Linked DNA regions of Arabidopsis thaliana. The protein of the gene in region 3 interacts with the protein of the main gene of each other region in a pairwise test. Each region holds a gene or a part of one and is shown on either strand. Other genes may lie near its edges. The genes, in order: COL1, CRY2 and SPA1.

Region 1 (8,286 bases), on a different chromosome or scaffold from region 3:
AGGTATCTCTCCGAGTAAGGCTTCGAGTGTCAGAGCCATCACCAACTGTTATGGGTTGACTACCTATACAAAGGTTAGACAAACTCGTGAATATGGTATAGTTGTTGTTCCATTATTTGTGAATGCATCTGCATCATTTAGAAAGATTTGCAATTGAAACTTTCGAAGGATTTTCTGATGAAAAGTGTTATAATGTTTAATCTGGTTCATAAAGTCATGGTAATGAGAATCATATCGGAAAAGTGACATGAAAAACATAGAGACGGTGGATTTTCTAGGATCAAACTCGAATCCGCCAAGTAGTCTTGAGACTACAAATTAGAATTTACCTGACGCACAAGTTAAAACTTAAAAGGCATTTTGGAGTCCACATGAGCAATAATTAGATTTATCATATATAGTATGTAGAAATTTGCACTTGGTAACCATTATAGTAAGTAGTTACAAAACATGACTCATGAGTGTTGTCACATCTCTGTAATTTGGGTTTATGATGATACTCTATACTATTTATTGTAGCTTTATTAGATCTCAACCTGTGGAAGTAATCTAATACAAACGACACTTGTATGGAATTTTCAGGACATGTTTCTAAGATCACAGAGGTAATTGTGAAGTTTTCTGCTACACTCATTTACTAGTCCACATGATCCATAGATGCAATTTAACCATCTTCACTCTATTTGGTGACCCATTCATGTGTTTAGCATCGTGGGTTTTCCTGTACTAATAACCATTAGTACTTGGAGTTGCCTTGTTGGTGTTATGCTCATAATGTTTACTATGTGGAAGCTACAGGATACGATACTCTCTAGGTTTGAGGACTAGCTCCAGTTACGCTTTTGGGTCCAGTGAATGTATGATACCCATTATGTGGTCCAAAAAGAATGAGATTTGACGGACGCTCTAGTGGCCAAATTCATATGGCTACCTTCACTCTATGCCTTAAGAGCTGAAAAGTGAGTGTTTTTTTTTTGTATAAAATGCTGGTCCTAGGATACACTTTTCGCATCTCTTCCTCTTTCATATTTGCTTACACCGCACTTCTCTTTCCCATTTTGAACTTTAAACTTTGAAAAGTTTTTTTTTGCTTGGTAATTGGAACTTAACATACAAGTTCTTGTTATTTACTGGTTTTACGATGAATGTAATGGCATTTAGAATTGTTATGAAATGGTTATATGATCATTGAATTCTAAAGAAAAGATTCTAGGTTCTTTAGTAAGCATTTTTGGAGATCTTTATCCTGCCAAGTTGGATAAGTTGAGGCATCTTTGGCTTTTAGTGCTTTGGTGATGAAATTTTTTGGAGATTGTAACGTGGTTCGAGTTCATGAAGAGTAAATTGTGTATTGGCCTTTTCACTTGTAGCTCAAGAAAAAAGTAGTTTTGCTTATTATTGCTCGTTGACAGTCTCTAATTAAGTTTATTGTTGTAGCGGTTTGGAACTTCTCTCACATGTGTAGGCCTTCGGATAACTGTTACGAGTAATAGATCATATGTAACAATATCCTCAAAGTTGCATCGAGATTTTCAAGAAAACACTATTGCTTATTTGTTTTCATTCTTTATCAGGTTTCCGTGGTTTCGAATACTTTGCTTCTTTCAGATTAACGAAAACCCTATTTAGTTGCAAAGACTGAGAAGAGAATAAGAGTCGAGGGACCATATAAAGCTTGTAATTGTACGTTTATGCGGATTCTCCACTTTCCATGGCTGTGAGAAACTATCTGAGGAAAAGTGCAGTGACCTTTGGCAAAAGGTAATCACTTTTATGCACTTTCACGTGCTAGCTCGAATCCACACCAAATAGTAACATTCTATTGGCTCTGAAACTCATAGTGCTCCAAGTGGTTGTCATTGCATTTTAAAAATTCCTGACAAGAAATTTAGTAGAAACTTTGCTACTTCAAGTTTCCTTCTTTATGATATGCTAGCTCGTATTATATGCAACATGGGATATCTTTGTTTTGCTTGTGTGGCTTATAAGTTTATGTTGCATGATCAAAACAGATCACTGAATAAATTTTCTGGTGGTCTGAGAACTCGCTGCAGTGAATGAATGAGATCCATGTAAGTGGCCCCAAAAGAACATAATTTACAACACTCTGGTAGGTAAATTCATGTGGATACTAAAACTGACTCATTTATGGCTAAAAAGTATTGATTTGGTACATGAATTCATCAGCTTAACCGTTGAAGTGGGAAGCTATCCTAGTGGTAAATAAGTTGATCTCTGGCCCTTTCCAGGTGGCAAAAAGTGAAGGCTTTACAGTGTCACCCTTTTTCTTTTGGTTGCGTCGTTATTCTTTAGTGCCAGTATATACCTTGGAAAAAGTGAGCTATTATTCTAAAAGATAGACCAAGAAATAGATTTCTCACACTGAATATCTTTGTTCATTTGGATGGTCCATAGGCATTGACATATTCTGCTAGTAGTGGTTGTGAGTGATAGAATCTTGTTATCCGAGACAACCTCGTGGGAATGGATTTAGCACCAATGCTAATCACTAATCAGTACAAGAATATGCGTTGATGTAATTGTACCTATTAGCATTGTTCACTCAGGATTCTTGGTTATTTGTTACCTGACTATTCAGTGTGTGATTTTATTGGAGTTTTACATGTTTACACTTGTCTCTGTAATCTACTTTTGGTATAAAATCATATTGAGTACAACTTTCTTTTCTCAGGGATGTGCGAAATTGTCTTTGGGGCGGCATAAGTGGAATCATTTATCTTCTACGTGATAAAGTGATGTGGAAAGTGTCACCAAGAAAGGAATCATTAACTTTGAACTTAGGCAAGGTGAGTTACGTGTTGACTGTTCTTGGTACAGCTAGCTATACTAATGCATATCTCTTTGTAGCATCAGTTTGAATTTAGACTGTAGGGCAGTATTTCATAGATAAGAGGACTTCTACCAAGTGGGCAAAATTTGTATTAACTTACAGCAGCTAAGTATGAGTGTATATCTAATTAACTCGTACTAGTTAGGCAAAACTAGTAAACTACAGACCCTATATGCATAAAACCGTGGTAATAACTTGCAGGAATTTCAAACCAGAAGTAATTTACAAGCATGCAGTCTAGTTTTGCCATAGCAGCATCAGAATGATGGAACAATTCCATATCCGGTGTCAAATGTTATCATTGTGGAGAAAGCTTGGTTTGCCTCTTCATCGACATCTTTCTTCTTTGCAAACCGGCCCTTGATCCGTGGTCTTTTCTCTGCATACGCTTTCCTTGAAGCATATCTTATCGTCTTCTCAAATTTCCTCATCTTCTTCTTCTCTCTGTATCTCAGGACTCTAGCTTCTCTGTCCCTTGGACTGAGCATCTGAGCTGGAGGGTAAGGTGGTTGGTCTGTTACCGCTTTGGGCGATCTTGGGTTTGATACTGTTGCGTCACTCGTTGTTGACTCCGGCACAACTCCCAGGTCCATAGATGAAACATTCACCTAATGACAGTAACAAAGACATTCTTAGAAATTTACTTCATGGATTTGTGTGAAAGAAGCAGCATGCTGGTCATAGTAACGGATCTGAATTAAATATATGAAAGCTTACCATATGACTGAGGGAACCATTGGAGCTTCGAAGAGCTCCCCAGGAGCCACAGTTGATACTCAGCTGAAAGTTCTGTTGCTCTTGGTACATGCCCTTTGATACTTCAATTTGAAGTGGAACAACTCCATCTTCCCCATAGCTCCTCTGAGGTACGTTGCAGTCTAGTTGATACTGATTGGATTGATCTGTGAATTGCTTATCACTCGAACTATAATCAACAAGGTTCAGAAACTCATCCCCAATCGAGAAGCCATTGTTGTTACCACTGTTTTTCCCTGAATTAGGCAACAACCATGAAGCCGCCTCTGCTTCATCTTCATCCTCTTCTTCTTGACCAAGCACAAGTCTGTTCTCTGGATCTGTCACTGTTGTCTCACATGAATGGTTAGTGGCCGTGGAACTGTAAGAGTACTCAGAAATGGGCAGAATTGGAACTCGTTGATGGCGTCTAGCAAGTGGGTTTGCGGAATGAATCTCTGAATCACAGGTTGTGCATAGAGATGCAGCATCTGCCTTGCAGAAAAAGGCAGCCGGGGCTCGCTCACATGATTGACAGACTCGAACACGTTCATGGCGGGAAGCAAGACGATTGGCAGCATGAACTTGAGCATCACAACTGGAGCACAAGTAGGCAGAATCAGCCCGGCAGTACACGGTGCAGGCGGCTGATCGGCATGTATCACAGGCTTGTGCCCAGTTACTCTCTACTTTCAACATACTAACCGCAGATGTTGTAGTTGTTTGATGGTGAGTGAGATCGTATGTAAAGGCAGCAGGGGACTAAGAAGGCTATATTAGTTGTTGAATGGAAATGGAAAGGAAGGATAGAATTCTGAGGGCTGGACACGTGGCGAGAAGTTTGTGGGTTTGATGTTGAGTGATCATCTTGTGGCTGGCTGAGTTTTTGAGAAGGGGTCCAGTGCAGAGATGCTTACAGCTTTGGAATCATCAACCAGCACGAAATGTGAAAGAAAGAAAAAAACTAATTGTCTTCTTATATCTTTGCAATGGCACCAATAGTTACTACTTTTTCTCTCTTTCTTCCTCAATAAGTGTAAACACCTCTTCCTATGTAATCTTCTATAGGACCCATCCACATGTTACCTAGGTTCTGAAACGTGCAACTTCTAACTATTTTTGTATCATCTACTACTATTTTGGTAAAGCTGGAAACTTTAGTAGCTCTTTGGCTTGACCATTAGCCTAATGTTTATCTTGATTCTTAACTTTTGCCATGTTCTAACTGTTCAGGTTTCTCTCATCGTCTCATGATTTCAATTATAAAAATTAAATGATCACTGTTTAGCATTGTTAAAAAGATTATGACTCTTAACCATTTGTTATCTTCGAATGATGCTAGGTGTCTTTTTTGGTGATATGTTGGAGATAATAGATATGGCATGTCCTAACTTTGTTTCCTTCCACATCAAGTCGGTCAAGCTGATTTGGCCAACGGTGGAGATCCAAGGAGCCAATTGGAATCTGCCAAGTCGCTACGAGTCTCTAGAGATTAGGAGCCACAAGTTGAAGCAAATGGTGGGTCCAAATTAAGGTGAATAACGATAGTTATATCAACATCACCTGTGGTCTGTTTATACAAGTCCAATTTGCTTATGATCACCATCATATTTCATAGTTACAAAACATGTATAAGTCTATCAAGTGTTTGTCACATCTCAATCACCTTTTTGAGAATATGATAAAACTCGATATTATCTTTACTAGCTTTTATTAGATTTCAAACTTGTGGAAGTAATCATATTCATGTGTTCAAATCTACATGGGTCAAATAAATTTGGTGGAGCAACAAAGTTTGTTTTTATTTACATGATGTTCTACTGATGCAATTAAAAACACAGCAACTAACAAAGGTAAAAACTGAGGATCAACAAACAAAGCTTGTTTTCCTTTCTTGGCAGTCAGAAAGGGCTAATCTCACGAGCCAGTTTCAGTAACAACTCTGGTACAAGACGCTTTCTGGGAGGAGCCAACGAGTCTTTGGTCAGCCCATCATTGTCCTCCGCATGTATCACAGAGACTATGTCATCAAAGAGTTCGTCTTTACCTCCTCGTAAGGGATCCTATAAACAATACTCTCATGAGTTTTATTGTACTCACACTGAGCTAAGTGTTTGTGTGTGTGACACAATGTAAGGTAAGTTGACTGATTTATGTGGCTTACCTGAAGAAATAAGTCAGTATGTGTCTTTCCGCTGTATAAAACAAGCTCGGCTTTTGCTCCAACAGCTTGCAGAGCGTCTGTAAAAGTTTTGCTGCAAACGAGGTGGTTTTAGTATCCCAAAAGGTTTCATCAGTAATGTATCACTTCAAGAAGATGATCATATATACCTTTCATCGCATGGTATGGAATAATCTGAGGATCCGTGGAAAAGTATAATAGGAGGTAAAAGAGAAGCAGCTTTTCCAACAACTGGGTCTTTCAGTCTTACTTCCGGAGAGAATTTCTCAAAGGACTCTTCTCCTTCCATTATGCTGCAAGTTGGAGTTGAACATTAGATCTGATCAGACTGCGTTTAGGATTTGGTTAACCAAGCATTTACCTTAGGAAAATCGAGCGATACAGACCCCGATTATGGAAGTGATCAACCAACTTGTATAGATTGTACCTATTGAAGTTCAAAATGATAAGCAGATCAATTGCTGTAGACCAAAAAGCACATAGAAGCCAACGGGAATCCAAAAGCTTAGAAGATACCCTCCAGATAATCCAAAATAAGCTTTTATCTGGGACACTGTCCAGGAGATGCTCTCTCCTTTTAATTCTTTAGTAGCTTGTTCCAATAGAGCACAAGCGGCTATATGGGCACCAGCTGATTGCCCCATCAGGTAGATCCTAGAGAGACAAGCAGATACATGCAGTTTAATAGCCGAGAGACCAATTGGAAGATCAAATGGTAAATAAAAACAAAGCCAATGAGATGAAACCTGTTGGGGTCACCTCCAAATGCAGAGATGTTATTGCAGACAAATGAGATTCCTTGAGAAGCATCAGTCACCATATCACTAATTGTTCCCTGAGGAAAGTTCCTATACCATAAAGAACGGATTGCTTGGTAAATGCATGAAAGTTCTTCCTATATTCATAAAAGACGACTAGTTTTTTGAATTGTGTAATTTGTTTACCTGTAGTCAAGGCATGCTACAATGATATCTCTTTCTGCTAGCTGCATTCCCAAGAGCGAGCCCCAAGCTTTGTACCTAAATATCAGTACAAGATTAGCAAACATGAACTTATTAACAAGCAACCAGCTAGTACAAGAAGATGAAACTTGAGTGAGTCAGTGAGATAAGAATACAGAGCCCATCATGATCTTTACTTTTTTCTTTTTGTAACTCAAACATCAACAAAAGAACAGTGAAGGGGAAAACTTCTATAAGTGGGACACGAGAAATTGTAAAACAAACAAATTTCAACATTATGCAGAAGAGAATGCTGTAAATCTGATGTGCAACCCACCCAATAATCCAAGCTCCACCCGTCACAAAAACCACAACCGGCTTCAAGCCATCGTTGTTGCTTGGCAAGTACAGATCCAGCCTATCAAATCACCGTTCATACATCAATAATCTCAAGACAAAGGTGATGTGATAAAAGCAGGCATTCAACATACCACTTAAGGCCGATGTGAAAGGAGAAGGTAAGATTCTATTCAGTTCACACACAAACCTGTTCCTTGGTTGATCTCCATACACTATACTCCTCCGGACTTGCTTTGAGAAAAAATAACTATATGCAACTGCACAAGATAATACAAACTTGAGACGAGGAATCAAAGACTAATTTTCCAATTAAAACAACATCTTAATCAAAAGGAAAAATCCTTTCTATGAATTTATTTATCAGCAAAGAAAAAAAAAAAAAAATCAAACCTTGAAGAAAGCCAGGCATAAGAAGCATAGCATAACATGTAAGGGCAAGTAATTTTGTCATCCATCGATAGCCTACCCTGAACAAAACTTAACAATTAGATCAATCCTTGCTCAACTGGAAATATAAAAAGAAGAAGTTAAACAAGAGCAAAACAACAGCACATGGAGTAACTTTCATAATTAGAGTAAAGTTCCAAAATAAAAGACAGAGAACTTTTATATATCATTGGATTCTTTGCAGAGCAAGGCAAAGCCAGCTAATATCTACACGAATTACCTCCCTAAGCGTAATCATCAATATACCTAAATCCAAAAACAGGGACAATCGAGATCAGTACCCGAGGTATCGAAGAAGCTTGAAGCTAAGTCCAGTAATTAGATACGTTTCAGCTGCCGCGTGGCCGATATCGCGACCGAACGATTGCTGCCGGAAAATCCGACGAGGTCCTTCGTCAACCGGCGACTTCCCGGAAACTCGACGACGTAACGGTTCACCGTTAAGAAGAGTCGTTCTATCGGAGTCCTCATCGGGTAGAACTTCCTCGATCTCCGATACCGTCGAGGTCATCGGCCAGCATCGCTGCTCCGGCTGCTGAGTCTGAAGAGGCGAATGCATCTTTTCCGCCGTGAAATAGTGGATCTCGAATTCCAAGATTCTTCGTGTTGCTCTTCTCTTTTGAATTTCAAACTCTTTTTGTTATCTTCGCTTTTGTGCGCTTTCCATTTCCTTCTACACGAGGAATGTAGTAAAGTAGTGTGTAGATATAACCAAAAGTTTGTACAAGACGACGACGTTCTTAGCTCTTATTGATGACGTTTGATCATGT
Region 2 (8,286 bases), on a different chromosome or scaffold from region 3:
TTTATTTTTGTAATTTAATTTAATATTTTTATTATATCAAAAAAATTCTTGTTGTTTTCAAGATATGATAATTATTTGTAATTGATTATAAAAAAATATTTTAATCATCAAAAAAAATCTTATATTTTTATAGAAATTAAAAAAATCTTACCGTAGTATTCAGTCATTTAGTTACTATTTTTCATTGGGGTTTTTAGACCAATGATTTGTTACTTTTATTTCCAACTGCATTTGTTTCATATAAAAACGTCGTGTATCGAGATTTCCTTTCTTTTCTTTATAAAGAAATATAAATTGGCCGTTATCTTTTTCCTCAAACTAAACAACTCAGATGAAACAAATTCAAAGACTAAACAAATATGTATATTTTATTCATAGCCAATTGAAATAATATCAGCATTATATGTTTATGCAATCATATCCTTTTGAGTATAACCAAAAGGAAACAAAGAGTTAAAAGACACATTCACACATCTACATGTTAGGCTTTATAACAGCACATTATTTTGATCATTTGCAACCATTTTTTCCCAAACTTGTAGTAATCTGATCAGATGAATCTTGAATACCTTCCAGATTCTTCCCTTCTGATGCCAACGAGCAAGACTGCGAAACGAAAAACACACTCGAAGAAGAAGAAGATTCAGCAGTCGAAAACAACTCCCTTTCATCGAATCCCCTAGATTTCTTCATGTCTCTCTCTTCTTCTTCCTCAGGTTTCACTCTCTTTGACCCGTTGTAACGAACAGCCGAAGGTACTTGTTGGTCATTAGAAGACACAGATGGGCAAAGACCAGGTTCTTTAATGGTATTAGCCCCTAAGGCCTCGAAGCTATCTGCTACAATCTCATCAGGTGCTGCTCCGATCATGATCTGTGCTTCACGGGTTCTTGAAATAGCTTTAGCTAGTAGCTCACGAGCTGTGTCGATGTCTACAATGGGTTTCGCATAGTTTGTTCCGAGTTCCACACCAGAAGCTTTGAGTACGGTTAAAGGAGCGTCCCATGGATGATGGATCCATTCAGTTGGCAATCTCGCAAGCTCGGGAAGCCATTGCCTTATGTACTCACCTTCTGGGTCATATTTGGCGCCTTGTAACTGAAATAAAAACAGAGTTTTCATAGACTTCAGAACTAAATCAACCAAACCAAATAAGCTGAAAAATAAAATAAAAAACGAATGCATAGCAAAAACTGGTATTAAGCTTTGAATTCTAAACTATAAGACAAGTTTTGTAGTTTACCGCGGGATTGTCCAAGCGATCAAGCTCGTGGCCATCGGGGATACTCCCAGAGATATACTGCCAGCCAAGGATGTCACATTCCAAATCAGCATCCAAAAGTGTATCCCAGAAATACTTCATTCCCCATTTCCATGGAAGGAGAAGAAACTTCACAGCAAAGCTTGAAACAATCACTCTTATTCTGTTATGCATCCATCCGGTAGCCCAAAGCTCTCTCATTCCGGCATCCACCAACGGATAACCGGTCCTGCCTTGTCTCCAGGCCTTGAACTTATCAACATCAGCATCCCAAGGGAAAAACCGAAGATGACTCAACAACGATTGCTCGTGAGTAAACGGGAAGTTGAAACATATATACCGAGAATACTCTCTTAAACCGATTCCCCTAAGAAAAAGATCTGCACTTTCTTCTCCTTCACTGTTCTTATCTCTTGCCCATATAATTTGTTTCATCCGGGCACACTGGAAAACGTGTCTGACGCTTATTTCCCCGAAATGGAGATACGGAGAAAGTAGTGAAGTAGAATTCCCAACAACTTTCTTGCTGTTCTTTGCATAATCTATCAACTGCTTCTCGATGAACTCATTTAGTAACTTATCAGCATTGCTCCATCCTGGAGACCAAGCTCTAGTTAACAACGCATTGCTCGGTTTCTCGGCCTCATTCTCCAGCCCTAGTTCTTCAATCGAACACGCCCAAATCGCTTCAGCCGCTAACAAAGAAAAAGCCATAAACTTTTACTACCGCTTATGTCCTGAAGAAATCAAAAACGTTTTAGCTTTTAAGTAATACTCTTTAAGGTTTTACCTGCAGTTATTGGCATCAACCGCCAAGGAGGAGGAAGCATAACGGATTCAATCGACATATCTAAGCATTTCTTCCAGTAAGAATTGAAACTCGTAAAAGGTTTGCCCTTTTCGCAGTATATCTCCCACGGTTCATACAATAGATCTCCATTGTAGCTTTGCACAGAGATCCCACGTTCCACCAGCTTCTCCTTTACGGTATGGTCCCGAACTAACGAAACAGGATCTACAACAAAGAAAAACGTGATCGCATCAACCTCAGTTGCACTTAGACTACACTAACTTAATAAGAATATATATCCTTTGAATAAGAGATGAAAGAGTATATACCATAGAGGTGGTTAAAGACGACTTTTGTAGCACCGGTAACGCGGATACAATCCAAGATCGCTGAAATCGTGTTGTGGGTTTTGATTAAAGTGAGGTCAGATCCAAGAGCCTTCAAGGATTGAGATAAGTGAGCAAGTGATTGTTTCATCCACCATCTTGAAGCTCTTCCAGGATAAAACTGTCCTTCTTCTTCAGGACACCAAATGAAGACAGGAAAAACAGATCCTTCGTGAGCAGCTGCTGCTAATGCAGGATTATCCTCAATCCTTAGGTCTCTTCTAAACCAAACTATAGTCTTTTTGTCCATCTTCATAGTTATTATGATCACAGATGAATCAAAGATCAAATCAGCTAAAATTCCACACTCTAACCAAGTTGTTCCATGATTTCAGACCTCAACCTCCTCCAGAGAATAGTTCTATAACAATAACAGAGAATGATTGATAAGAAATCTGTAATCTTTGAGTCCTAAAATCCAAAATAATCTACAAAAAAACATAACAGAGAGAGATTCGATTTAATCCTAATCCTTTTAAACAGAGCAAGCAAGAGAAATTCAATTGAGAGAAACAAAAATCAAAAGCTGGAAACTTTTTACCAGAACTCAAATCAGAGTGGATATCTCTCGGCGACAAAGATCTTCGAATCAAAGACTGTGAAAGTTATTTTAGTGACTTGACTCTTCTTTCTTCCTATTTTGGGTATGCAAAGTTAAAGATTTGAGATCTAACGGAGACCAAAAACAATACCCATATGAGAGTATGAATGTTAATAATTGTGCAATATAATAATCACAACGAGACAAAAGTAGACAACTTTATCCACAACTAGTGGCGTGTGTTCTTATAATAGCGTTTTTTTTACCGACATCTCATCTTTGATTTGCTCATCTACGATTTTATCGGGATCATGTACGAACTTTCTCTTGTGAGATATTTTTTTATAAGAGATCGAATTTTGTTTGAATGTTGAGTGGGCCTAAAGCGCAGTGAAGATACTCTTATCTTCTTATGCTAGAGAAAAAAGTTTTTTAACGTTGGGGCCGAGGACGGTGGTTCATGAACTCGATTCTGGTCATGCCCACTTTTGTAGAATCCATTAAATATCTAAAGTCTATATGGCTTAAAGGTGAGAACTTGATTCTCATTAGTCATTACCAAGTAGAATCTATAATCAAAATCCACTGCTTTTACTTTACAAAAGGAAAAAGGTAAAGATAAAAAAGTTCTCTCAAACTTTGAATCCTCGTATACCCCTTATTAATGGACCATTGCCTACGGTTTATGATTCGATTTCGGATAGTCGTAAAATAGAAGCAATCTAAGTTTTTTGGATGTATATTTTGGTGTCAACTTGGTGTTTGGTTATAAAATATTTGGGTGAAGAAAAATAGAAGTAAAATTAAAATAATCCACATTAGAATTTCAGTTTAATCTAGTGATTTGGTTTTGGTATGAATCTGCAAGAGTAGCATTTCTTTTTGCAATTGCAACACAATAACACCATTCCTCACAAATCACAATTGCACAAACCCATTATCGAAGAGCTCATCAATTTTGGGCTAATTGCTAAAGCAGAAAAAAATAATCGCAAAAGATAACCATGCAACTGCCAATTTTCTTCTTTTCATGGGTAAACCAAATCAGACACATTGAAAAAAACGATATCCTGGTTTAGAAACAGACCAGGGACAATACTCATCAAAGAGACCAAAGAGGTTATAAAACAGTGTTTGGAGATCTTTCAAACACACTTCTTATTCGGACAAAGCCCTGAAAGGCTTTAACTGATCTCACACCTTATAGATGAAAATTTTGCTCCAGAAGGGTTTAAGAGAGGCATGAGTACGCCAAGTCCTTCTCTTCCTTGAGCTCCTCTGCAGTCAAATCCATCTTCTTCCTTGATACTTCATCAATCGGAAGGCCTAACCAAACAAAATACACATTAGGGTCTGCAGAATCTAGGATTTCATAATTGATGAGCATTTGAGTTTGTAAGTGCGTCATATTTACCTTGGACAATACTCCAGTCTCCATTGCGACAAGTTACAGGGAAGGAGTAGATAAGTCCTGATGGAACGCTGTAAGAGCCATCGGAGTATACTCCCATGGAAACGAACGTACCCTGACAATTTGAATCAAAGAAAGAACTCATATTAGATTAACTGTTACAAAAAAACAGCACTGCAAATAACGGGGAAGAGTTTTATTATGAACCTCTGGAGTTCCAAGGACCCAGTCACGGATGTGGTCACAAGCAGAGCTAGCAGCAGAGAGCGCACTAGACAACTTCCTCGCCTTGATGATTGCAGCTCCACGTTGTTGAACTGTAGAGATAAATTCTCCGTCCAACCTACAGAATGAGCAATATATTTAAGTGAAACTAGATTTTGCTTCCAGAGAAGAGAAAGGGTCTTAAGTTCTATGGCATGTTATACATACCATGCATCGTCCTTGACGAGCTCACGGACAGGCTTCTCTCCAGACGAGGTCTGCACTTTAGCATGGTTGACATCTGGGTACTGTGAGGATGAGTGGTTTCCCCAGATGATCACGTTCTTAACATCAGACACTGGCACGCTCAACCTCTCAGAGATCTGTCCCAAAGCCCTGTTGTGGTCAAGCCTTGTCAAACAAGAGATGTTCTTTTCAGGGATTGATGGTGCAAATTCCTTGAGGATCAATGCGTTGGTGTTTGCCGGGTTGGCCACAACAAGAACCTGAAAAAAAAAAGACAAAACGAGAGCGAATGTGTGAGCAAGAGAGTCGTAAACTAGAACCCAATAGAGAACACAAAGCATCTGTTACACTCCAATGAACAGAGAAGATTGGATGCAGTGGCTTCATTTAACTTAAAAAGCAAACAGATCGTATCACCTTGCAGTTAGGAGCGGCATGCTTCTCCAAGGCAGCAGCCTGAGACTTGTAGATGGAAACATTCTTGGACATCACATCCTTCCTCTCCATACCTTCTTTCCTCGGGAAACCACCAACCATAACAGCAACATTGACTCCAGTACATCCCTCAACGGCATCAGTTGTAGCAACAACACCTGATAATAATACACATCAAATATTCATCTTCTCCTTTCCCACTTATACAAAACAACTTATGACACGGAATGCAAATATCCACAGCAAAACAAAACCCTTAACTACCTTTAAGAAGAGGGAAAGCAGCATCGATCAACTCCATCTTAACACCGTTCAAAGCTTCAGCAGCTGGAGGAATATCCAACATGTGGAGGATAACAGGTTGGTCAGCACCAAGCATGATACCCCTTGCAATCATAGGTACAAGAGCATATCCGATTTGTCCTGCATAATCACAATCAATAGTTACTTTCAGTAGCTGAGGAGATCTAAAGTCACAACTTAAACTCTATCCAACTATATAAACAACGGTTTCTAAATCAGAGTTCGATCCATGAAATAACTTTTACTAAAATTAGATATGCGACCAACTCAATCAATCGTTGGTCAGCGTTGAATCCAACGGAACAAGAGTTGACCTATATTTCATTGATCTATGGAACAACCAGATACTATGCAGAGATCTGACTAGATTCAGCAAGCGATTCACTAGCCAGAGATCTAGAAGTTACACGATCTAATCGGATATAGATGAAAGTTATACCTGCAGCTCCAGTAACGAGCACACGAACTGGTTCTTTCGCCATCGGATCTAGATCGGAGATTATCGCCGGAAAACGGATCGAATTTGGGATATTCGACTTTTGAGAGAGCGTAGAGTCAGCTTTTGTCTGACCGTGAAGCTCACTCTTGCGTATTTATCGAAGATATCGAAGGATGTACCGCCACGTCATCTAATATAATCATATTATCTCGAAGAAATAAATCGAAATCTGAGATTAGACCTATCATATTAGGAAAACAAGATATTATTCAATATATATTTTTGACTCTAATGGGCCTCTTACATTAGGCCCAAATCGTTTAGCCCAGAGTATTCAAATACGTGAATCAAAACAGTAGATAATGGTGGCGATAAGGCGAGAAGAACCACGTCCACGACAACCTCCGGTATGGCGTCATCTTACGTCACCTACTCAACGGTCACTCCGGTGGTCAGCAGCAGTAACATTCGAGGAGTCTTTCGTTTGGCATTCACGCGCCGCCGTGTTACTCTATCGCCGAATGCTCGGAGGAGAATATTGAGAGTTTCGGCGAAAGCGTCGACGAAGAATGCTATGGAGTATAGGAAATTAGGAGATTCCGATCTCAACATCAGCGAAGTTACTATGGGCACTGTAAGAACAATCTCTCTTTATCTCCTGCAATTGTAGTCCATTGTTCAATTTTGAAGTTTTGATGAAATTTGGAATTTCAGATGACATTTGGGGAGCAAAATACTGAGAAAGAATCTCATGAGATGCTGAGTTATGCAATTGAAGAGGGCATCAATTGCATTGACACTGCTGAAGCTGTGAGTTTTTATCTTCATTGTTCATCTTTCTCTTCTTGCCTGGTGAATTTGATTGCAAGTGTTTATGTGAATGTTTTATACTTTATATATAATTCTGGTGAATTTAGCACTGTTGTGTTTAGCTTTCTGGAATCTGCTTAGTCTGTGGTAAATTTTCAAGTATCATTGTTTATTTCCAGTATCCCATACCGATGAAGAAGGAGACGCAAGGTAAAACGGATCTTTATATCAGTAGCTGGTTGAAGTCTCAGCAACGTGACAAGGTATCAACCATTTATCATACTTTGGATGCATATTGGTCACGAATGTATATGATATCAGCAAAACCTAATCGAAGTTATAAAAATTGATATTGATGTTCATTGTTTCTGTATACAGATAGTTTTGGCAACTAAAGTATGTGGGTACTCAGAAAGGTCAGCTTACATAAGGGACAGTGGTGAGATTCTGCGTGTAGATGCTGCTAATATCAAAGAAAGTGTTGAGAAAAGTCTTAAGCGCCTTGGAACTGATTACATTGACTTGCTTCAAATACACTGGTAACATCGCCTTATTTTTGCTTTATGTCTTAACTCATATTCTACATTGTTTGAGCAAGTGTCTTTCTATTTCATGCGCAAAATATTTCGTTTTTCATCATCAAATGTCAGAAAATCATGACACTGATCTTTTTTTCAGTCCAGGCCAGATCGATACGTACCACTCTTCGGTGATTTTTACTATGAAACGTCGAAATGGAGACCTAGTGTGCCATTCGCTGAGCAACTAAGAGCCTTTCAGGATCTCATAGTTGAAGGAAAGGTAGTGCTACTCCTTAAAAATCAGATGTTATATTGAGTTATATAACCTCAAACACAGAGTTTTGAAGTGTTCCTCGAATTCTGCAACAGGTTCGCTATATCGGTGTCTCGAATGAAACTTCATACGGAGTGACGGAGTTTGTTAACACAGCAAAACTCGAAGGACTACCAAAGATTGTGAGCATCCAGAATGGTTACAGCTTGCTAGTTAGATGTCGGTATGAAGGTAAATCTTTCTAGAATACCTTGAGAGCAAGTGTGTCGGAGGAGCATGTTCTAAACTCTTTTGTTTTGGGTTAAAACCACAGTTGATCTGGTAGAAGTATGCCACCCAAAAAATTGCAATGTTGGCTTGCTTGCTTATTCCCCTCTTGGAGGCGGCTCGTTGTCTGGGAAATACTTGGCTACAGACCAAGAAGCTACAAAAAATGCAAGGCTGAATCTTTTCCCAGGATATATGGAACGTTACAAGGGATCACTAGCCAAGGTTTCTTCTTGATCCAACTATGCTTACTTCTTCTTATGTCGTAAAACAATTTAAGAAACAGTATTAGCTCGAATCTAGTTGTAAAGCCATATTCGTAAAAGTGTTTTGAGGTCAATTTTATCTTTGTTCTGATTTCAGGAAGCAACCATACAATACGTTGAGGTGGCGAAGAA
Region 3 (8,286 bases):
TTGACTGCTGATATTATTATTTTTGGCCTAATTAATTATTTTGATGTCATCCATTTTGGTTATCGTTTATACTAGCTAGTTGTAAAATAACTAAGAAAAACGATTGTGTGTGGAAATTAATTTAATATTCTAACTTTAATTTCGGACTAAAAAAAACTTAAATTTAACTAATTTGACACGTGGATGAGTCTAATTGGATTAGTATAAAAGATCCTCTGGATCCGCATGTACTGTGACCCAAGTGAGTTTCGTGCTTACACGTGGCAGTGCCGTCCAATTCAATTACGTCTCGGCTCTAAATAATTTGTCGGTCACATCCTTTACGTTTTCCTTATTTTCGCCCCCAAATGTTTCATTAAATTACGAAAGTTGCCTGATTTTTTTGAGTGGGTTCCACTACACCCGCCACATTTTTTGTTGGTCAACTTGGCCATTTCCTAATTCCTAAGAATCGAGAATTAAAGTCAGGTCCATCAACAGATCACAAAAATATTCCATATCAGTGACGCATTAATAACTTAATCATATAGTTTAATTACTTACGATTAGCTTGACAACATTTACCTATCACGTCAACCATAACACAGAACTTATGTACAACATTGGTTTCTTATTTCGTTTATCAAAAGAAAACAGTGATATATTATTTAAAGAATTTATAGTGTTTAAGTACCCAAAAAAATGGCTACAAAAGAACTAGACACTGTTTATCTTTTTAGTATTATGAATACGTAAGCGTCCTCACGTTCCATAGGGGCTAACGTACAACTTGATACAAGTGATTATGATAAGACGAAAAAGTAAACGACACACAATTTCTGCAATAAGCATAGTTATTTAGTTTAATTAATCATACATGTTGATGGCTCTATACATTTGTTCATTAGTTCATCGAATATGTTTTACCATAGTGGTCCCATTGATGTTATGTTGTGTTGTCACGATTCTTAGACGTCTTCTTTCTATGTTGTTTAGCTTCACAAATCACAATTAGCCAATGGAATTACACATTAGGTATCAAACATTTCAGCAAAATATGTATAACTTACTACTTTTTAATATTGAGTGTGACACCTATAATAATCATTTCCTACCAAATGATCAGTCAATTTACGCCAACAAACATTTTAAAATTCTTTATAAAACTATTTATGTATATATATATATATATATATATACTTGTTTGTGGACCAAACATGTAATCTAATTGCTTGTGTTAATTAATGACATTGATGTGTCATGCAACATCCAAAATCAGACCTGCATAATGCATTGACAAATATTTATGTAAATACTTATCAGATATTTTCTTCCTCATTACTATATATATAATTCCAATCATCAACAAATAGTCTAGGTCAATCTTTTTTTTTTGTCTAAATTTCTAGGTCAATCTATGATTTAAAGTTTGCTTGTAACTTCATGTAATGAGAATTTTTTAACGTTCATAATGTTATTTATATTTATTTATAATTTTCAGATTATATACGTGGGAAAAATGAAAATACAATAACCATATGAGCGATCATTTTCTAGCGTAGTCTTGTTGAAATATTACAAAACGAATTTTAAATCTGAAGGTAATTACTAATTAGTGTAATAATTTATTATAAGTACCTCTATAATCCATGGCTTTGCTTTTATGACGTTTTACCCATTTCGTTGACCACGTCAAATCGTTACAAAAAGGGTTGTCTTCACTAGAATAATGGTTGCTAACTTGCTATTTGCATTCAATAAACCAATCAAATAATTGAATGAAAAGGTAAAGAGGGTTAGAACTTAGAAGGAAAAGTTTAATGAATATTATATAGCCGAAATAATAGCTAATGAAGATTCACGCACGTATCAAATGATTGAACCTTAATCACATTTGACATTTTTAACAGTCGACCATATTCTAGTGGTTAATTTCATAATTATTGCGTAACTCTTCGTTGTATTAAAATTATCTGTTAAATAATAAAGAATATTGCCCTTTAACATATATGTATTATTTTACTATTCAGTATCATGTTTTACTAGTTTAGGTTGTAAAAAAAAGTTATACATATGTCATCTCTATATTTTAAAAATTATTTTGGTATCATCTTATGAAAGACATATTTTAATTTTATTATTGTTTTGGCGGTTTTATTGTTTGTAATATACAAATCAGTCACAATGTACATTTATCCAAAATATAATAACAAAGAAAAACTAAAACATAAGATAATAATCAAATGGATGAAAATTAATGAAATTGTCATAATAATGGAGAGCGTGTCATAATTCATTAGTGACAAACCCAAACCTCTTATTGCATAGTGACCAAAATTGGGTTTTGCGAAAACGACCCCTCATTTACTACCCAATTCCGTTTCCGGCCACTTTTTATATCATTCCTTTTTATCACTCTTTTGTTTGTTTTCAAGTCACATCTTCTCAACGAAGACCGGAGCCCTCGTGTGAACATCTTTTCCCTTCGACGGCTAGCCGAAATTTTTAAAGATATAACACTCTGATCTCAACAAATTAAATTTTTCATAATAACACTTCGTCCAAAAACTCTACCATTACATTTAAACGTGTTGTATATAAATATGATATATCATTGTAGTATTATGAATTTACAATTCAGGGTATATTATGGAATATAGGACCGACCAAATCAAATTTTTATTCGAAATTTAATTTTATAGATTATGCTGATTATCAGTTTGGGTTTTATTTCCAAGTTCACATGTTGAGAGAATACAAAAACAAAACAAAGCTAAAGGGATTATATATGGATTAGGTTGTGGATGTCAACTAGTTATTAAAATAATGTTAGATTAAGGGATAGATTAGGTAAAGGTAAGTAGCTGTTAATCATGTTAAATATTATTATTTTAGGTTGTGGTTCGTCTAAAAGGAATCTCCCTATGATTTACGAATCCGAAATAGAGAGAGGAGGATTTTCATGTTATTGTGGTGGAGGAGCTAGGGTCGTGTCAATGCTGCTTTTGGTTCATTGTTTAAGAACAATGATCATAACACGATAAGATTGATGAATGAAACGTTTCTATCTGATATACCACACAAATTTAACTAAGCATCACAAATCCGAATTAGAGCAGAGAAAATAATACAACATGTTGCTGGTTAGGTTGAAACATTGAATTTGCATCTCTTCTATAGTTGATACAAGATTGGATACATCTTCGTTACAAAGCGAATACTTGCTTACATTTAATTACGCCAAAAAATCTCTTCATTTTCATCTTTTACAGTTAATTAATAATGAAAAGATCTGTTCATCTTTATATATAGTGATCAATAACAAAAAAATTTGAATCCAATAAATATAATTGAACTCAGGTTCTGGGGGCAATCACAAGTCAGTCATGCGCCTTCACATTTTCCTGTAATGCCTGAATTCTTTAGCCATGGGCTGAAGCACGTGAGTCCTTTTCTCCATCAACTTTGTATCCTTCATAAACCTCTTGTTTGCACGTGCTCTAGATTCACGAGCCTCGTGTGCAACATGGTCTCTTCTCTCTTTCTCCAAACCATTCTCATCTTCCTTCTTCGTAGAAAGCTGAGAGAGAAGCACCACCATGAGATTTACCTCCATCAGAGAAGTTTTCTCGTCTTCTCTTTTCTCCTCCGCATCATGTTTACGATTGGCTTCGCGAGACGAATCCATAAACCCAAAAAGAAGACCCAAAAATGATACAATTATTGGGAGCTATTAGTCCCTAAATTAGCCCGTCTTTTGGACAAAATTTTTATCTTCTTCTTTTTTTTTTCTTGTGGTCATTCATAGTAACTAATTAAATCAATTTGCAATTTTTTGAGTGGTATTGGTATATTTTCCATCTTAAAGACTCGATGGTAGAGAAATAAGATTCCTAAATTCATTAGTCACAAGATCGACCAATTTTTATTTTTATTTTTCTTATCTCAAATGTTTCGTTTTGAGAACAACCAAACATTTAACCATTGATAAAATTGGCCAATGGCTAAAATGAATGCCTTTTCATTGTTTTTTTGACATCCTAAAATAAATGCTTAACTAATGGGTTTATGGAAAACAAAAGTTGTGTCCAAGTTATAAGCGAAGCAGCCCATAAAAGTATTAAAATGGGCTGAGCCCAATAACTGATAGGTGGAGTATATTAGTTTAAATTGTGTTTGTTGTACAAAGTTTCCCAAATGGGTTTCCAAAATGGGCTGAGCCCAAAAAGTGTTGTTATAGGTGAGGGTATATTAGTTTATTCGCAAAAAAAGCGTGGCTTAATAATCTCCACATCTTTCACGTGACCCCCCTCGAATGGCGAATAGATTAAGCGACGTCGACGTGTTTTAATCTCCTCCTCTTAACAAATATCCCTAAAGATTACTTCCCCCATGCAACACTCTTAATACCCACGCTTTTCCTCTTTATTTACCATCCTACCCCTATACTCACACATATCGTTTAACCAGAGAGGAAAAACCTGAGTGGCATAATCCGTAAATAAGACCAAAAAACAGGACCATCTCTAAAGCTGATGTCACTAATCAAAAGATTATGAACGTAATCTCGTGTCATAATCCTTTTGACCTCTTACTTAAACAAAACAAGTATAATAATTGGGCAGCCAAAATAAAAAATCTTTCTCTCTTTTTGCTATAAAGTAATGAAAAAATTAAATAAAATAATGTTCAAAAAATTGTCCGCCAGAATAAAGAAAATTTGATATGTGGCTTCAAAGCCTAAATTAATCATTAAAATAAAAAATCAGAAAATAAGGAATGAAGAACGAATTGTGCAAAAGTCTATAGAGAAAGAGAGATTCATTTGTGTTTCTTCGACTATACACAGAATACAAAAGAGATATTATATGTAATTATCAATAGTATATGACAAATTTATAGCCTCACCTTTCTTCTTCTTCTTCTTCTTCTTCTGTGTGTTTTTGAATTTGCTTTCTTCAAGAGGTTTCTTCTCCACACCGCTTCGGTGTATGATCTGATTGTGATCTCTCTCGATATCTGGGATCTTCGGGGTAAGCGATTTGATTTTTGTGTATTTCTCGTTTCTCGTAATCTTCATGATTGGTTTTAATAGTTTGCTGCGATTTTACATAATCTTCTTCTGTTTTGATTAGCTACTTTAGATTACAGCTAATGATACGTTTCGGGATTAGTGATTATTGTATGTTTAACTAGTTTTAGAATCTCTACATGCATGAATTTACTAGGTAGGGCTTCTTTCTTCTTCTTCTTCTTCTTCTTCTTCATTTTGTTGGTTTGATTCTGATTTGTTTTTGTATTGTATATGATTTAAGGTATGGAGGCTGTAGATTATTATTATTATTACGTGTGGTGCTGATGCAATGAGTGTTGATGCCTGTTATGGAAAGAGTAGCTGAAGAAACTGTGGCGACTAACAACATACAATTGAAAGCACGAGTGGATGATGTTCCTTGTAATAAGCTTGATGCTCGTCATAACGATATGGTGATTCAATCAGAAACTGCAAACAGTGATTGTCCTGGAAGCTCAGCTCACAGGAATGTTGATTTGACTAAGCCGCCGCCTCCTGAGGAAGCCGCAGGAGCTAAGCTTTCTGTTGAAGAGTTGACATTGGGGAACTACAGGATTGTTCAAGGGAGTAATAATACTAATGTGGATAGTCCTAGGGCTGGCAAGTTTGAGCATCTTTATCGTTTGGCTAGAGGGTCTGCTTTTAGGGCAGGAGATGGGGATCTTGATTCTCAACCTCGTGATATGGATCAAATGTTGTCCAGAATCAGACAACAGCTTGCTGGAGCTCCTTCTGAGAGGCAAAACTTGAAACCTTTTATGTCTAGGAGGAGCGATCAGAATCTTGAAGCTTTTTCTGAACGTCTAAGAGCAGCTGGTGAGAATAGTATTATGAATGCTCCTGCATTGATCAGTGAAGGTGTCCAAATGAAAACGCCGGTGAGTTCTTCGAATTTTTCTCAGTTGTTACTTAAAAGAGCTATGAAAGGGAAAGGGGTAGTAGGAAAGAACCAGGAAACTCCTCCTGAATTTGTCTCTGATCAAGATTTAGGAAGCAAGGAAAAAAAGTTGGATATTAGCAAGTCGCCTACTCCTCACGATGTGTTACCTCTAAAATCAAGTCCCAAAGGAAATGGTATGGTATCACATGGTGATGGGAATCATAGTAAATCTTCTATTGGAATCAGTTTGAGGGAGTTTCTTAGATCAAGTTATGCTAAAAGAGAAAAAAGACATGGCCTTTGTCTATTTAGGCAGCTGGTGGAACTGGTTGACTCAGCCCATTCAAAAAGATTATTCTTGCTAGACTTGAGACCATCCCTTTTCACTTTAGTTCCATCAAAGAAACTTAGATATATTGGTAATTTTGGAAAGAACGATCTAGAATCAGATGTTGACGAAGATTTGAATAGGAGGAGGCCTGTTGTTGAGGAATCATCTAGTGGAGGTAGGGATTCGAAGAAAAGAAAAATGGACTTGCATTTGAATTCTCCAGGGAATCAACTTCAGGCCACTTCAACCGGGCGACCTTTCAAAAGGAAAAGCCCTGTGATTGATTTAAACATGGTTGATGCACGTAATCCAGACAGTTGCGAGCTTCAACAGCAAGACTACATAAAAAATTTAAGCGTGTCTTCAGTGTCGAGAAAACAGTCTATGTCCACATGGCTAGAAGAGCAATGGTATACTTGTCCAGAGGAGATAAATGGAGAAGATATTGGAGAAAAATCAAATATTTATGCCCTTGGTGTTCTTCTGTTTGAGGTATGGACGAATACCCAGTTTTATTGTTGTGGATAGATTTTTAGTTTGCTTTAATACCAAGAAGGATGTAACATTTCCTTGCATTTGAACACTATGTACTGTCATATCCTGCTTATGTGGGCTTTGGGTAGTTTATATTCTTTCATTTTCATGAAATTTCTTACTCTAGTCTGAACTTTGAATCCCAGAGCTAGTATTTTCCAGTCTGCAGTATATAACTTGTCAGTATTTTTGTTTACTTGTTTGATACTTTCATGTGAAGACGCCTACTGACATCTAGCTTGACCAATTGTTGTTTCAGTTGCTATGCCATTGCGAGTCAGGCGAGATGCATGCTGCAATGATGGCAGATTTACGCCATCGGATTCTCCCACCAACATTTCTCTCGAAATACCCGAAGGAAGCTGGATTTTGTCTTTGGCTTCTACATCCTGAACCCTCCTCCCGACCATCAGCTAGGTATTTAGCTGAGTGCTACTCTTTTATGATTCATGTGGGCGAGTATTTACTAGGAGTCTAGGAGTGGTACAAAGGAGAATCTGTAGACCTTCCATTAGCTTAAATAGTCGTATTTAAGATTTCTTTGCCGGATATCTTCAATTTTATTTAATGTTTTCCCGCTTAATTGTGAAGAAAAAAAATGGCATGCTACTGTGTGAATTATCTTCTTGTTTCTTTTTCTGTTCTCATTCTTTTCTCTTTATGTGACAGAGATATACTAAAGTCAGAGTTGATATGCGAGGATGATTCAGTTAAATCGACTGCTGCTGCTGAGGAGATATCTGAGCTGTTACTTCATTTTTTGTCTTCATTAGAAGTGCAGAAGAAGAAAAAAGCATCTAAACTTTTGCAAGATATCCAGACCTTAGAGGATGATATTAAGGAGGCCGAGCGAAGATATTCTTCAAATGTATCTCTGGTGAGATCTCATGGAGCTATTGAAAAAAGGGTGCAATCATCTCCCCTAGACGAGCACTGTACAACTTCCAGTGCCTTGTTTGTACCAACTGCTAATACAGACAGGCTGATGAGTAATATCCGTCAACTTGAAGATGCATATTTTTTCATGCGATCACAAATCAACTTATCGAGTTCTGCTGCTACTGCCCGTTCTGACAAAACACTAAAGGACAGGGACAGATGCTCTGAAAACCAAAATGAAAATCAGGATATGAGTACCAAAGGAAAATCTTCAGATCAACTCGAAGTGTTTTTCGAGGGGTTGTGCAAATTTGCTCGGTATAGCAAGTTCGAAACCTGTGGGACAATAAGAAGTGGGGACCTTTTAAACTCTGCAAGTGTGGTCTGCTCGTTGAGTTTTGACCCTGATGAAGAACACATAGCAGCAGCTGGGATATCAAAGAAGATCAAGATTTTTGACTTCAATGCATTTATGAATGAATCTGTCGGTGTTCATTATCCACTAGTAGAGATGGTCAACAAATCTAAATTAAGCTGTGTTTGCTGGAATAGCTACATCAAAAACTACTTGGCCTCGACTGACTACGATGGTGTAGTTCAGGTACCTAT

What was found.
Region 1: the proteins of SPA1 (region 3) and COL1 interact in binary tests that used the Arabidopsis thaliana proteins (3 or more experiments, as listed by UniProt).
Region 2: the proteins of SPA1 (region 3) and CRY2 interact in a two-hybrid assay, tested with the Arabidopsis thaliana proteins (4 studies listed by BioGRID, with this or other methods).

Annotation. Positions count from the first base shown.
Region 1 is NC_003076.8:5,173,189-5,181,474, forward strand, and holds COL1 (CONSTANS-like 1), read right to left. Parts: upstream 4,710-8,286; 5' UTR 4,286-4,709; coding exon 3,569-4,285; exon of another isoform or gene 3,460-3,568; coding exon 3,109-3,459; 3' UTR 2,903-3,108; downstream 1-2,902. Other genes in the region: AT5G15853 (uncharacterized protein), read left to right, coding at 4,919-5,119; PCME (prenylcysteine methylesterase), read right to left, coding at 5,488-5,649, 5,751-5,841, 5,918-6,061, 6,130-6,195, 6,285-6,422, 6,515-6,616, 6,713-6,787, 7,047-7,127 and 3 more. UniProt on the Arabidopsis thaliana protein: Putative transcription factor that may be involved in the light input to the circadian clock but does not affect flowering time.
Region 2 is NC_003070.9:1,185,209-1,193,494, forward strand, and holds CRY2 (cryptochrome 2), read right to left. Parts: upstream 3,489-8,286; 5' UTR 2,979-3,488; intron 2,866-2,978; exon of another isoform or gene 2,799-2,865; 5' UTR 2,694-2,798; coding exon 2,381-2,693; intron 2,277-2,380; coding exon 2,052-2,276; intron 1,957-2,051; coding exon 1,244-1,956; intron 1,099-1,243; coding exon 511-1,098; 3' UTR 304-510; downstream 1-303. Other genes in the region: c-NAD-MDH1 (Lactate/malate dehydrogenase family protein), read right to left, coding at 4,210-4,304, 4,393-4,504, 4,597-4,732, 4,822-5,099, 5,257-5,432, 5,539-5,697, 6,017-6,059; AT1G04420 (NAD(P)-linked oxidoreductase superfamily protein), read left to right, coding at 6,426-6,650, 6,731-6,826, 7,006-7,089, 7,205-7,365, 7,510-7,627, 7,717-7,852, 7,935-8,113, 8,252-8,286.
Region 3 is NC_003071.7:19,023,888-19,032,173, reverse strand, and holds the start of SPA1 (SPA (suppressor of phyA-105) protein family), read left to right. Parts: upstream 1-4,645; 5' UTR 4,646-5,012; exon of another isoform or gene 5,013-5,207; intron 5,208-5,294; 5' UTR 5,295-5,352; coding exon 5,353-6,756; intron 6,757-7,057; coding exon 7,058-7,215; intron 7,216-7,467; coding exon 7,468-8,278; intron 8,279-8,286. Other genes in the region: AT2G46360 (uncharacterized protein), read right to left, coding at 3,374-3,667. UniProt on the Arabidopsis thaliana protein: Controls normal photoperiodic flowering and regulates circadian rhythms. Required for suppression of photomorphogenesis in dark-grown seedlings and for normal elongation growth of adult plants.